2 linked regions of the Cricetulus griseus genome follow. The protein of the gene in region 1 interacts with the protein of each later gene in a pairwise test. Links are inferred from orthologs where the notes say so. Each region holds a gene or a part of one and is shown in the gene's direction. Other genes may lie near its edges.

What was found.
Region 2: the proteins of Sdcbp (region 1) and Dctd interact in binary tests that used the Homo sapiens proteins (3 or more experiments, as listed by UniProt). The two-hybrid records come from large-scale screens. The link is inferred for Cricetulus griseus from reciprocal best matches to the Homo sapiens genes SDCBP and DCTD.

Annotation. Positions count from the first base shown.
Region 1 is NC_048595.1:154,128,791-154,132,539, reverse strand, and holds the end of Sdcbp (syntenin-1), read left to right. Parts: intron 1-668; coding exon 669-840; intron 841-1,649; coding exon 1,650-1,741; intron 1,742-2,492; coding exon 2,493-2,547; 3' UTR 2,548-3,633; downstream 3,634-3,749. UniProt on the Homo sapiens protein: Multifunctional adapter protein involved in diverse array of functions including trafficking of transmembrane proteins, neuro and immunomodulation, exosome biogenesis, and tumorigenesis.
Region 2 is NW_023276807.1:38,622,529-38,626,277, reverse strand, and holds the start of Dctd (deoxycytidylate deaminase), read left to right. Parts: upstream 1-1,013; 5' UTR 1,014-1,336; intron 1,337-2,039; 5' UTR 2,040-2,045; coding exon 2,046-2,171; intron 2,172-2,335; coding exon 2,336-2,471; intron 2,472-3,749. UniProt on the Homo sapiens protein: Catalyzes the deamination of dCMP to dUMP, providing the nucleoside monophosphate substrate for the thymidylate synthase/TYMS.

The DNA of each region.
Region 1 (3,749 bases):
GTCAGGCTTAAGTAATCTCTCTCTCGTTGCTTCTTTGGTGGCTCTTCCAAATTAGAGCAAAGCTTTGCCTGTAATCACAGCACTTGAGAGGATGGAGCTGCACATAATGAGACCCTGTGTCATCCATAACATTTTCAAAATTGAGATGTGAAAACTAACATTTTCAATGTCAAATGTCCTAAGGTCAGTCGGCTCCCAGAAGTATTGAAAGATTCAATGAATTAGTTCAAAGCCATCTTGTCATTAATGCAAAGCATGGTGGACTGTAAAGAAAAATGTAATGATAACTGAAAAGTATGGTGGATTGTAAAGAAAAATGTAGTAACTCCAAAGCATAGTGGACTGTAAAGAAATGTATTGATGGGCTGGAGAAATGGCTCAGCCATTAAAGGCTAGGCTCACAACCAAAAATATAAGAAATGTATTGATAATTCCACAAAGTAGTGTGTTCTGTTTTCTCAACTTAACAGAAGGGTATCTTGATTAGCAAGTCATTCAAATTTTGAGACTAAGCAAGGCTACTGTCCCATGTATAGTGTAAGAGCCATAATAAATGATTAGAAACAGCACTTACTGTAACAAAATACCCATGTGGCAATTTGTGGTATGTCATGTCTATTGAAGTATGAAATTAAAGTTTCAGTCTAACCCAGCACTTACTCTTACAGGCCCTTTGAGCGGACAATTACTATGCATAAGGACAGCAGTGGACATGTTGGTTTTATCTTTAAAAGTGGAAAAATCACATCCATAGTGAAAGATAGTTCTGCTGCCAGAAATGGCCTTCTCACTGATCATCACATCTGTGAGATAAACGGGCAGAACGTCATTGGCTTGAAGGTAAGAAGCACACTGGACCCTAGTTTTGGAGCCATTTTATTTTAGATAACATTGAGGTGGTGTGACTTTCCTGATGACCCTCAAACACTGAAACTTGGGAGATAAATGTAGGAGCTATGGTCTTAGGCCATCACAGTAACTCTGGGATGTTACCTGGAATTATCTTTTCCATACCAAGGTCACTAAACTATGATTCTATGATCTCTCTCTAGCTAGAATTCTGTGGAGAAATGGGCAGGGACATTTTTAGACATTGTGAATGGATGAATGTCCCAATATTTTTCAGTTCAGAAATACAGGAAAGGAATAAGTCTTGGTATATATTAATACTTTGATTTTTATAGATTTTGATCTATAAAGTTTTTATGGGCATAGCCCTGGCTGCCCAGGAACTCACTATGTAGGCCATGCTGTTCTCTAACTCACATGTACCTGCTTCTGCAGTGCTGGGTCTAAGGCACGTGAAACCCTGCTCGGCATATAAATCTTTGAATTGAGACTACCTTAAGATCTCAAGGTTTTAAGTAAGACTTTAACTCATAAATTCTGGAATACAGTTGACTGTGTTTGGGGCAAGCTCTCCATCTTCAGGTAAGGGAAGGATTGTGTTCAGTGCCTTCAACTTTGCTACCAGGTTGAAACACACATGTCTGTAAGATTAAAACTAAAATTCAGACATACCAGGGATTGGGACTCCAGAGATACTAGCATGACAACAGCAAATATAGTGTGACTCTTACCTAACAATTACAGTTTTATGTTTATTAAATAAAGCTTCAGTGAAATTAAATTCTGTTATGTTTCACTAGGATTCTCAGATTGCAGACATACTGTCAACAGCTGGGACTGTAGTTACCATTACAATCATGCCTGCTTTTATCTTTGAACATATTATTAAACGGTAAGTGGACAGCTCTACTTATGCTTGCTGTCTCCTGACATAAATGTAAATACTTCTTGAAGCCTGCAGTTCTGCTTATTAGAAATCAGTGGTTATGATGGGGGTTTCTTGCCTGTGAGATATTGAGTTGCTGTTGCTATTTGCAGTATGTCTCAGGAGGTAGAGGGGTGCATGGTGCTTGCTTTCTGTCCCCCAGAACCAAGAAGTATAAAGTCCATGCAAGCTGACAAGGGCCAGCAAGGGGTGATTCTGACTGTCTTTGTAGTTGGTACTGTTTCTTGGAAACCCTTCATTCAGAATCCTGATAGAAAGTGAGATTTCAAAGATACATAAACCTAACCTTTGTAATGGAATCTTTGTAATTTTGGCTTCTGGGTAGAATGCAGCTAAGTACCCTCGGAAGGGAAAATGTTGTGAGCATTTGACTGTTTTATAGTCTTTTTTTCTTTTTTTAACCATTGGTAGGTTCCTTCTCCACCTTTTCTTCTAACTCCATAGCCTTGCTGTTTTATTCTAATTAAACTGCCAGTCTTAAGGTAAATGACTTGCACCTTCTTTAGCATGTCGACCCTGGTGCAGATGTTTAGTTTTCCTGGACAGTCTTAGACAACTCAGTTATCAGTTCTGTAGCTCTGAGCTCATTTAAAGACCTTTAGACAATAGTGCTACACTGGAATTGGGGTTGTCTTGGGTTAAAATGGCATCTTTGAAAATAAGATATGAGTTATATGATGAGTTGGCTCTCTTGTAGGATGGCACCAAGCATTATGAAAAGCCTGATGGATCACACCATTCCCGAGGTTTAGAAACTTTGAACAACGCATTACAGCTGAATGTTTCCAGTTTTCTTCTTCGGCAACTTCTATATTTTGCATATGAAGCTTTCCGGGAGCCAGGGAGAATATGCTGCATGGGGACCTGTCTATCTTCCATCATGGCTGGGAACCTCACTCTATCTGATGTCTTCTGCAGATTTTAAGATAGTTGTAGCCTTATCCTGGTTTTACAGATGTGAAACTTACTGACTTTCCTAGAATCGTTTCTTTACTGGAAACCTGATGTTTTTATAAGCCATTGTGGTTAGGATGACTGGTGTAGGCTTAGCTGTGTGATAAGTGGTCACCTTTGTCCTAGATGAAGCACAGTGCTAGTCGTGTGCTTCACTTCTGTGGCACACCTGGATTTTTAGAACATCAGCATAGTACATTGAGGATGATTGCCTTTGGTAGTTACTTTTAAGTTTTCTCTGTATGAGTGTGTAAAATTCCAGTTAATCAACTCTGGTTTCATTCCACAAAAGCATTATATATTGTGTGTACTTTGCAAAAGACTGTCATGATTGTCACTAAATTTTAACTACCTTCACTTAATATGCTTCAACTGTCGCCTTAACTACAGCAAGCATTTAGAATAAAAGCCAAAATAGAATTATTGCTGCCTTCTGAGACCTGAGTGTTAGCTCTCTATTAAGCTGGTACCTGCCAGCCCCAAGCAGCTCACTGCTAAGCAGAGCTGCCTAGTTGTATGGAGATTTTCTAGTCACTGCATAAAGGAAACGCCTAAAAGTTGCCGTATCGCTTTCTGAAAAATAAATCGCTATATATTTCATGCAAACATTGTTATAGAAACAGAACAAATTTGGGGGTCGCCTTTTCACTTGTAGATTATGTGGGCAATATTAATTTGGCATTTGAATCCTAATATTATGTAATTTAGTCACTTTGGGGTCATCTTAGAATGTTTCCCTAGCCATTTTAATTTGTTCTATTTTCTGATTCCGTCCTCTAAACAAAAATGACAATGACACTTTATCTTAATTTTTTTTTCTTCTTGGTTTATGCCTATCCTAGTAATATCCTGATACTATCCTATTAAATGTATAAAAATGTTAACTTTTAGTCTGTCTGTTATTCCTTCATTCTTCTCACATCTGGGGTCTCTGAGAACAGTCCTGGAGCTAACACTTGTCTGAGATCCTTAGATGGCCAGGCCTGTACACTTGTAGGTG
Region 2 (3,749 bases), on another chromosome or scaffold:
AGGGACGCTTGTCATTCTGTGCTGGAACAAAAAAGTTCCTCCAGACTTAAGGGTCTAACATCTGAGTCCAGTAAACGATGTGCGAAGGAATCAGATGTAGTTCCTTGGGGCATATGACCTCCACAAACTTTACCAGGGGACTGTCAAGCAAGCATGTGTGCATCTTGACTGACTTGGAGAAGGCTTTAGCTTGCATCTCAGGGTCTTTCACAGGACTGGAGTAGAAATTCTAAACCTGGTCAACCAAAAAGTCAATGCAAATGAAGTTTCGAAGTATAGGCCTCAGGGCACAGCTGCACGCCCTATACCCTTTCTATATGAAACTAAAAAGCCATCGCTGGCTAGGAAGACACAGCCTGTAGGGCTTATTATAGAAACACAAACCAGGTCCCTTCATTCCTTGGCCCGGTATCTAGAATCAGTGGATCTTTTATTCACCTTTCTGTATTTACAGTAACTGTTTAAGAAGGTTCTTGATGGATTCAGAGGGCTGGGAGGATCACACTCAGCATCAACAACTAAACAACAACAACAACAACAACAACAACAACAACAAACCAAGCCCTCAGGCATGCAGGTCCCTTTCTGAGCCCACGCCTTTACCACCAGTGCAAAAAAGCCCAGGGGAGGTATCTGGGTGGTGGTGGTGCAGCCTTTAATCCCAGCACTCAGCAGGCAGAGGCAGGCGGATCTCTGTGAGTTCGAGACCAGCCTGGTCTACAAGAGCTAGTTCCAGGACAGCCTCCAAAGCCACAGCGAAACCCTCAACCCCAAAACAAACAAAAAAAAACCGCAAAGGTAACCGCAATGCTGGAATCCCGCTGCCACCTCGGGACAGAGGGTGACTCCACGCATGCCCGGCAAACTGCAGACCCACTGTGCACCAAGGACCCCACCGCCGTGCCCACCGGGGGTCGCGACCACGCCAGGGTGAGAGCCGCACTGGTCCCCGCCCACCCTTCCGCCGCGCGCGGGCCCGCCTCCCTCCTGACTTCCGTCCCGCGCGGCGGCGGTGGCGGCGGTCGGACGGTGCGAGTGTGGTCTGCACTCCCGGCGAGCGGACGGCTGGGGAGTCCCCTCGCGGAGGACCCGGCTCGTCCTGAGCTCCGCCTGCACGTGCGTGGCCACTCGTGGGCGGGCTCGCCACGGAGGAGGGAGGGAGCTCCCCGAGTCTGCTGGCGTCCACGTGGTGGGCATGCTGGAGACTTGAGAAGCTGGAGCAGAGTTGGAGGGGAGTTGCCAGGACTGTGCGTCCTTTCCGGGCTGTGGTGGAGCGGTTTCTCCCTGGACTGGTGACATCTCAGCCTCAGTTTCCTCGTTTTGAAGCTGCTCGTGGGTGGGTGCAGAGCCCCAGGGAGTTTTCTCAAGACCGGCAGCCGGCGGTGCCTTCCCATCCCCCTCCAAACCTTAAAGCAGGCGGGAAGCAAGTCCAGTCAGGAAGTCTCCCTGTTAAGCAGGGTTGCAAGGGCGACCGAGCCGTTGGCTATTATTTGTGCTTCCTCGTATCTGCCTTCCACTGCTAGATATTGTCCTGAAGTCTGAACGGGGAGTTTGGGAAATTCCCACCTTAAGATTTCTCAGTAAATAGGGTGACCCTGTATTGCTGTCCTTCCCCTAGTTTGTGAGTGGATTCTCCTAGCTGAAGTTCTGTGTCTCCTCCCACCTCTTCCCCCATTGTAGAGACCATCTAGACCTGGCCCTAAAGCCCTCGTTACAGAACCTGGCTTTAGCATTGGCATTTTATTTTTATTTTTTCCCATTTGAAAGGGACAGATCACCTGTTTAGTTCCCGAACTGGCCTCATTTCAAATGTTATTTTTTTATTTATTTACACTGGGCCTGGAGGGCAAATTTCCTGAGTTCTGGGTCTATAAGACCCAGAACTAATGACTGCTTTAGCTAGAAGTGAGGCTCTTAAAGTGGGTAGGACCCATGTTTTGTGATTTCTGTTTAGTAAGTACAGCTGACATTGCCCAGGGGTTAGGGCTGATGCCTTTCTTTGGAAAGCAGACCGACAATTTGTTCTTCCCCATGTTTAGTGGCAAATGACTTCTAGACCCAACATGAGTGACAGTTCCTGCAAAAAACGGGATGACTATCTGGAATGGCCTGAGTATTTCATGGCGGTGGCCTTCTTATCAGCCCAAAGAAGCAAGGATCCAAGTTCCCAGGTAAAGCGGTTTTGTAGGCGGATGTTCAGATACTTGCATAGATAGACACAAAGAACAGGTTAAAAACTGCAGCTGTAATCTGCTGACCTTTGTGGGGTGTTCCCTCATGCTTCTGTGCCACCTCCCCAGTGGTTACCAAACCTTTGGGCAATGTTTCTCTCTAGGTTGGAGCCTGCATTGTGAATACGGAAAACAAGATCGTTGGGATCGGGTACAATGGAATGCCAAATGGGTGCAGCGATGACCTGTTGCCTTGGAGGAGAACAGCAGAAAATAAGCTGGATACTAAATATCCCTATGGTAAGGTATCCTCAGATTGCATCTTGTCGTAGTTGAGTGCTTCATTGAAAAACTTAGGAAAGACCCTTTTAGTCATCAACGGGTAGAAAGGGAAAAAATTTTGTCATGAACTACCCTGTCTTCCTGTTTCCTCCTCTTTTAAACAGTGTTGTAATTACTTCTTTGATAATTTTATCTCCTTTTAAGATTTATATTTTTATCTTTATGTACATGCATTGTGCCTGCATGAGTTTATATGCACTACTTAGGTGTACTGAGTCTTTATCCCGCCAGCTGGCTCCCAAAACATGACACAGAGACTTCTTATTAATTATGAAAGCTCAGCCGGTAGCTTAGGCTTGTTTCTAACTAGTTCTTATTACTTAAATTAATCCATATCATTTAACCTTTGTTCTTTTCCATGGCTCGGTTACCTTTGCTTTGTAAAGCCCATGCTGCGTCTTCTGCCTCTTTTTTGAAACTCTTTCCTTCCCAGCATCCTCTCTGCCCTGAAAATTCTGCCTCGCTAATGGCCATTCATTTTTTATTAAACCAATCACAGCGACATACACAGTGCAATCAAATATCTTGCAATACATATTACAAGTGACTGCAGAGGCCAGAAGGGGGTGTCAGGTCCCTTATAACTGGAGCTACAGATGTTTGTGGGCTGCCTGATGTGGGTGCTGAGAATCAAACCTGGGTCTACCTCTGGAGCAGTGAGTGCGGTTAAGAGCTGAGGCTTCTCTCCAGCGCCTCCTGTTCCCATCCTCTTAAGTTTCAAAGAGAGCCACTGATGGAAGCATAGGCATTGTTATACAGGCTGGTCCTGAGTGCTGGCCCTTGCTGTCTTTGTGAGTCTGGTGTACTTCCCAGGGGCCCGAGAGCCTGTAGACACCAGAGCATGCAATGAAGGCCACAGCCCTTTGCAGAGACAGCAGGGACACACGTGAGGTGGCTCTGTAGGTTGTTCCTTTTCTTTGGGAAAGTGGAGGCAGCTTGCTAAGTGAAGCTTATGCTAACCAAGCAATGATTCCTCTTGCCTCATGGTCAAGTTCATCTCTGGGAAGCTGGTTTGAGACCAAGCTGGGCATCGCGAGGTGGATGGTGAGACTCCTCTTCCTATTGCTTGGGTCTGTCATCTCACCGTGGGCCATGTTCAGAACCAAAGGCAGCAGTAATAGAAATGAAGGCCTTGCCTTGGCTCTTTGGCTATTTACCTTGAAATTAGGAGAGGATGCTATGTTAGTTGCTGTTGTTGTGACCAGACTGACAGATATGACTTACGGGAAGAAAGGG